2 linked regions of the Sus scrofa genome follow. The protein of the gene in region 2 interacts with the protein of the main gene of each other region in a pairwise test. Links are inferred from orthologs where the notes say so. Each region holds a gene or a part of one and is shown on either strand. Other genes may lie near its edges.

Region 1 (3,825 bases), about 64 Mb from region 2:
AACAGGCCCTGGGGAGGAAGCCCCTAACTATTACTCTGTAGCTTCCAATAGGAGGGCATCCCTGATCCAGTAACACTCCAGCAGCAAACAAAGAAAATCAGCCTCCCTCAGGATATTTGCAGCTTTCAAAATGTGGGCACTTAATTAATTTTACCTCTATTTCTCCACTGCAGAACCTACTTTTTTTTTGTCTTTTTAGGGCTGCACCTGCATCATATGGAGGTTCCCAGGCTAGGGGTCAAATCAGAACTGCAGTTTCAGTCTATGCCACAGCCACAGGAACACAGGATCCTTAACCTACTGATCAAGGCCAGGGATTGAACCTGCATCCTCAAGAATACTATGTAGGGTTCTTAACCTGCTGAGCCACAAAAGGAAATCCACAAAACCTACCCATCTTTAACATGAACCCATAGCCTTAGCTGACACAACACAACTACCTTAAGAAAGTTATACATCTTTGGTGGACCTCTGTTTCTTCATCTGTACTATAAAGGCCGATCCTCATAATATGCGGAATGCCCTCTTGCTTTTAAAGACAGAAAGGAGCTGTGATTGACCTCAAGGAAGAGAAGGATCTTCAATGCCCTAAGGTTGTCTGGGAAGCCAATCTAATTTTTTTTTACATTTTTGCAAAGCTGAAAAACCACTCCTTGAAATTCCTCTTTTAGTGAAATTGAAGCCACTGTGGGAAAAACAGAACAGGAAGAACAGGAGAGTGGAATGTTACCCACTCTCTCCTCCCTCCCTAGAACCTATTCACACTACAGGGACCTGCAGATTGCCTCTGCACCAAGTGCTTAGTGAGCCTTTAATTATTTCAAGATCTATGAGACATTATTCCCTGTTCTTTTATTCTCATAACAAACTGTTCTGGGCCCTCTGCCAAAGAGCCAATATCTTTGTGCAATTCTACATGGATATAATTTTTCTCTATGCCATGGTCACCATTAAATAAAATCAATAAAACTAGCATTTGCCATCAGTACACTTGCCTCTGACTCTATTGTCTCTTATGTAAGAAAAGAAAAGCAACACTACAGCCCCAACATGAAGCCCAGTATTTCTCTGATTGGAAAGGGTGGATCAGGGTTTGTTCTTATGAGTGGTGTGAATAGACATCCCTTGATATGTCCTCATCAATCAACCAAAAAGTATTTTATTGTCAAAGAAAACTCTCTCTCCTTCGCTCTGTTCCACAATTAAGAGATTCTGCCTTTTGGGTCCTTAATAGGCTCTTATCAAAATGCAAATGTTAAAAAAAGTAAGAGCTCATTCAAAAGCTTCCCAAATTTCAGTCCTAGGAGTACTAGTGATAGGTTCCTCAGAGAAGAAAAAAGAAAGAAAGAAAGAAAGAAAGGATCAATAATCACATAGCCTGGAAATAAGAGTTAGAATTTGTTACTAGAAAGCACCTTAGCAGAGATCAGTTCACAGCACATGAGAACAAGACAGATTCAGGATGGACACTCAAGTTATGATAGGTCCTTCATTGGCCAATGGAAACTTAGCCATCCCCTAGCACAGAGAAGTGCTCAAAAAGGAAGGACAGAAAGCCCATACACCTCTGCCATAATCCACTCATTTCAAACCACAGGGTCCTTACCCGGTATTTCTTTTCTTGTTCAAATTTTTCTTCAAATTTCCGAATTTTCCGCTTGAGGCTCTGGATATGTTTGGTGAGCTGAGTAATGGTCGGTGGTTCCTTGCCTTCACCACAGCCACACCGTGAAGAACTTCGGGGCCTGTGATGATTATAGGGAGGGAAAGAATCACCAAAAATGTTGATCTTGAGGAGCTGTTATATAGCACAAAGAACTCTACCCAAAGTTCTGTGATCATCTAAGTGGGAAAAGAATCTGAAAGACAATGGAATTGTGTATCTGTATGACTGAATCACTTGATTGTACAGCAGAAATGATTACAATCTTATAAATCAACTATCCTTCAATAAAACTTTTAAAAATGAAAAACAGAACAAACAAAAAAAACGGTCTTCCAGTAAACCCTGCTGCTGGTCCACAAAGCCAGCTTCCTGGATTAACAGCGAGGTCCAGAGGCCAGGTCACTATTTGATGAGTAGCATCCACTCATTAATGGAAGCTCCTGATCAGAGAACAGGAAAATGTTATCAGGGACTTTTCAGTCTACAGACGTCAGAATATTAGCCTAGGAAATGCATTTCCTCAAGCTTGGAGACACTTTCAAGGAAGTTTTAGATGAGTAGTTAACTTTTCTTGTAACAGAGCCTTTGTGAATCTGCTGAAAGGAATGGACCCCCTTGCCAGAAAAATGTGTTCACTTTCTCAGAGGACAGACTTTACAGGAGTTATAACTCACTCACTCCCTCAGGTCCATCAGTAGACAGTCCATGGACCCAGGACTGCATAAATTCACAAATAATACCAGGAGGTATTCAGGAGAAACTAGAAATTCCTTGCACATATTTCCAGTTGAAGGAGACTCATTTTAGCTATGCATCAAAACTACATGTCAAATAAATAAATAAATAAAATTCTAAAAAGGAGTTCCCTTGCAGTGCAGCAGGTTAAGGATCCAGCATTGTCACTGCTGTGGCATGGGTCGCTGCTGTGTTGCAGGTTTGATCCCTGACCTGGGAACTTCTACTTGCCACAAGTGAAGAAAAGAAAAGAAAGAACTACTTGTGGAACTTAAAAAACAAGAAAACAGTTTCACAATATGTGTGTGTGTAGGAGCTATAAGAGCTACCACTTTTCTAGAATCTAAGAAGAAACTGAGACAAGACAACTTCCAAGCATTGCTACGATCCAGCCATCAAGGCCACCATTGGACATGGAAAGACATGAGCACATCAAGAATAATAATGAGTAGTCACTAAGACTACTTAGTGAGCACATCAAGAATGATATTCCTGATAGTTGCATGTACATCCATTTTCCTAGGATTCTGCTCATTTCACCAAAAATGTTCAAATACATGAGCCTGTTATCTTGAGACCATTTCCTCCTGAGACAGAAAGGCTTGAAGCAGCATTCTCAACTAGAAAACACACTCTTTTTTCTTTTTTTTTTCCATTCATTGTTCAGGGCTGCATGTGCATTCGGTAGGCACATTTGCTCTATTTTGGATATACCCTTCACTCTGGCTTATAAACGTAGTATTTGAAAAATGGCACAAAACAAAGATAAATACAGAACAAGGTTTCCTTACATCATAAACTGCTGAGTGCTGGGGGGAGAAGGGGCTGATTCAGGGTCTAAATTGAATCTCTGGCTTTGGCTGAAGATGGCGCATCGCGGTGACAGCAGTGGGTTGTCACCATCCGTGATGTGGTAGAGCAGCCTGCTAGTCTCAACAGACTGGAGGTCTTCAGGCGCACTGTCAACTTCATTCTGCCCATCTTTGTGGCCTGGCACAGAATCTGAGGAAACAAGATAAATCATCAAGACTCAGCAGAGACAGAGGGCTTGAGACTGTCATGTTCCTAAAAAAGATCATAAACATTCATTACAATGTCTTGCCTTTTTGTCATTTCTTCCTTCTGGGGATATGAAAGCCTTTCAAAATACTGTCATGTTTGTTCTCACAGAACCTGGATAGAAAATATGATAAAGCCAACACACACACACACACACACACACACACACACACACACACAAAATGGAAACACAAATTAATTCGGTATGAGTTATAGCATCAGCATAGACACAACTACAAAAATACTTTCTTTATTTCATACTATTTCCATAAGCTAAAGTGTATATTACAAGATGTTAGTGCGGCAGAAAGAAAACAATTAAATTGAACTGAAGCAAAAGATAATAAGGAAAAGAAGGTATAACA
Region 2 (3,825 bases):
AAATTATGTCTAACAATTATAAAGATTTTACTGTGTACCAAGGACTATTAAAAGGGCTTTATATATATATATATTAAGTCATTTAATTTTTACTATAATCTTGTGAGGTAGGTGCCATCATTAACCTCATTTTATAGATGTAGAGAATGAGGCATAGACAAGGTCCCTAACCAGTAAATAGCAGACTGAGATTTAAAGGGGTTTGTAATCTTAAACCTCTATGCTTACCCCTTCTTGATACCCTGAGGTTTATTGTTACTTTCCTCCCTGGAATATGTGAAAAAACTAGCTCAGTCAGTTTTACAACCCTCAGAAAGCCTTCTTTGATATTAACCCAACCTCTGGCGTAGGTGTTAATCATAGCAATATTTTATAAGTTAGGTCTTTTAACATGCATTAATTAATGATCCCACAATTTTCACAATAGAATCTTTTAAATGAACAAACATCTTGTAATTTATAAACAGGGAAAGATTCCCTAAAGCAGAGACCATTAAATCACTGTGAGCATAAAGAACTGGTTCTTGGCATTAATGGATGGCATCGAAATAGAGTCCAACAAAAAACCTATACATGGAAGATTAACTTTAAAAAATATAATCATTATAAAAGAATTTCACAGAATTCCCATTGTGGCTCAGTGGTTAACGAATCCGACTAAGAACCACGAGGTTGTGGGTTCGATCCCTGGTCTTGCTCAATGGGTTAAGGATCTGGCCTTGCTGTGAGCTGTGGTGTAGGTCGCAGACGCGGCTCAGATCCCGCATTGCTGTGGCTCTGGCATAGGCCGGTGGCTATAGCTCGGATTCGATCCCTAGCCTGGGAACCTCCATATGCTGCGGAAGCGGCCCAAGAAATGGCAAAAAGTCAAGGACACAGGAAGAACCACACAGAGATGAAGTAATATTAACTTTTTATAATTGCTTTCTTAGTGGTTAAAGTTTAATAAAAGTAGAAGTATAATTATAATAACCATAAAATAAAACTGGTTCTGAACTAGGGACAATTTTGCGCACCCACATCTGCTCAGGGGACATTCAGCAATGTCTGGAGACATTTTTGGTTGTCACAGCTGGGCGTGGGTGATGCTACTGGCATCTAGCGGGTAGAGGCCAGGAATGCACATCTTACACTCCTAGGACAACCCTCCCACAATAAAGAATAAACTGGCCAAAATCCCAACAGTGCCAAGTTTAAGAAACCCTGCTATAGAAGTAGCATCTATACCAACAGTAGTTAACTATGAAAATTTAAGTAAAAGGCAATTATTTAGAATTAGGTATACATTTGAACACACAGATGAAAAAGATTATTCTATTCCAGAGTTTAGGGATAAGTTTTGGTTTTAATGCTGCTGAATAATGTCGTATCATTTCTCACTATCATTAGCTCCTTGTCATTGCACTAATTATATGACTAATGGCGCGCTTCTCTAAAGTCTTTACACTTAGTGCTTTGACTCTGCTCTTCACATGTGAAATAACTTTTATGAACATACCAGAAAGGAAACTAAGCTACACATATTAAAGAACTGAAAATGGGAATTGATAAATGTTGGCATTTTCTTTAATAACTGCTAAATGCAAAGAATGGACTAGGTGTATAGATTGATGTTTCTTCCTGTACAAATTTCCTCTGTCACCATCTGTGAAGGAAAAGCTCTCTCTAACAGACTTTGTGTATTTAATTTTAACCCAGGGCAAATTTTTATGCCTCAGTGATAAGCCCACAAAACTGGAGTTCATATTGGCAGCCCTTACACTACTAACTAAAATGATACCAGTGGGCATTACCATTTCTAAAAGTCTAAAAAAATCAACGAGCAGATTGTCATTATAGAAACTCATTCTGCATCAAACCTATCACCCAAGAGATTGATATTTCATGCTTATAAAACTTAACATAAAATTAAATTGCAAATATTTTCTCACAATCTACAAATTTATGGCCTAAGGCAATACACTGCTAATATGAAGCATTTGTTCAGCTCTAGTGGACATATTTCCTATATGATTTATTGAAAGGAAGCTTCATTTGCCTCTTCATGGATTTGGTAATGAGGTTTCTGTTTCTTACATTAAGCCTAGAAATTATAGAAAGTTCTTTAAAATTAAGCTAGCAAATATAACACTGAATTATTGATAAATAACTGTGAAATCAAAAAACAGGGGGTTCTCCTTCTGTATATGACTATCATTTGACACCTTGGCCATTCATTCATTATCAAATACAAAAAAGCATCTAAATATTTCATACAGAAAATTCATTTTCATTCTTTAGGCACAAAACCAGAGTGACAGATTTCAAATAAAGTAGTAGACTGTGATTTTGCCCCTGAAATTTAAAAGGATAAAAAATAATTTCAATCATTCCACCCCAAAAGTTAGGAATAACAGAAAGAGACTTTTGGAAACAAAGCTTTGTCTTAATCTTTTAGGATGTGAGAAAATTCAAGAGTCCATGAGATATATGAAAAGATAAAATTGATTTCAGTGTTATCAACCTGATGCATTTATGTGTAGCACTTTCTAGTCTGTGAAGTGTTTGTATATTACCATGTTTCAGAATACACATAGAAGGAAATTAATGTCTTCACCTGGAACTTAAATAAAAACTCTGGATTTAACTTTATGCTGAAATCTACTTGACAACTTGAAAATTTATGAATTTTTTTTAACCAAAAGATGCTAAGCATTCTTACCTTAAGCATTCAGCATCATTCTGAGGTTTTTCAGTGATTTTTATTTTTTCTGCTTCTAAATTTTTGGTAGTACGAACAGCTTCATTTTTTTTATCTTCAAAATCTAAACAATTAAGAAAATTACTACAATCTTTGAAAAATTAAACATAAGGTTATCTTTATTCAATAATAAGAATAATACTCTGATTTGTGGTGCTTCATGTAAAATAAGTGTAACAATGATTTCTATTTTTCTACTTTAATACAGCAATTAAAGGCACAAAAAAGATCTTAACAAAATCTGTGACATTAAAAATACCAGGGAGTTCCCGTCGTGGCGCAGTGGTTAACGAATCCGACTAGGAACCATGAGGTTGCAGGTTCGGTCCCTGCCCTTGCTCAGTGGGTTAACGATCCGGCGTTGCCGTGAGCTGTGGTGTAGGTTGCAGACGCGGCTCGGATCCCGCGTTGCTGTGGCTCTGGCGTAGGCCGGTGGCTACAGCTCCGATTCAACCCCTAGCCTGGGAACCTCCATATGCCGCGGGAGCGGCCCAAGAAATAGCAACAACAACAAAAAGACAAAAAAATAAAAAAAAAATTAAAAAAAACAAATACAAAAAAAATACCAGACCTAACTCTGATCAATTCAGTGTTTCACCTATTCCTTTTTTACATCAATAACAGTACTATATTCCAATAGGTTAATACATTTTAAAACAATAATACAACCTGTAATCGGTACATATTTATATTTATCAGAAAAATAAACTAAATCATAAAGGTAATACCTTCGAGCTTTCTCTGCAAAGTAAATAATTCTTGTATTAATTCACTCTTTTGTTTTTGAAGTTCATTTAATTGGTCACTATCATGTTCCACTGATTTCATTTCTAGAAATGAATAGACAAAAAACATTTTGACTATTTAGGCTCTGCCTTATATATCTCAGTAATGATTAACTTTTTCTTGTTTAGTAAAAATTTAAGCAGTATATGGTCGATTTTAAGCCCCAACAGGCTTCCCTTGGTCACATAAGAACTGTTTCTTAATAAACTGACCAGGATTAGTTAAGTAAAAACTGGATACAAAAGAGTAAGTTAGCCGATGGTTAGACTACCAAAGAGAATTCAAAACAGTGTAATGTG

Evidence for each region.
Region 1: the proteins of CCDC172 (region 2) and FAM13C interact in binary tests that used the Homo sapiens proteins (3 or more experiments, as listed by UniProt). The two-hybrid records come from large-scale screens. The link is inferred for Sus scrofa from reciprocal best matches to the Homo sapiens genes CCDC172 and FAM13C.

The regions. Positions count from the first base shown.
Region 1 is NC_010456.5:62,642,589-62,646,413, forward strand, and holds part of FAM13C (protein FAM13C), read right to left. Parts: intron 3,404-3,825; coding exon 3,193-3,403; intron 1,746-3,192; coding exon 1,607-1,745; intron 1-1,606.
Region 2 is NC_010456.5:126,597,360-126,601,184, reverse strand, and holds part of CCDC172 (coiled-coil domain-containing protein 172), read right to left. Parts: intron 3,571-3,825; coding exon 3,469-3,570; intron 2,805-3,468; coding exon 2,702-2,804; intron 1-2,701.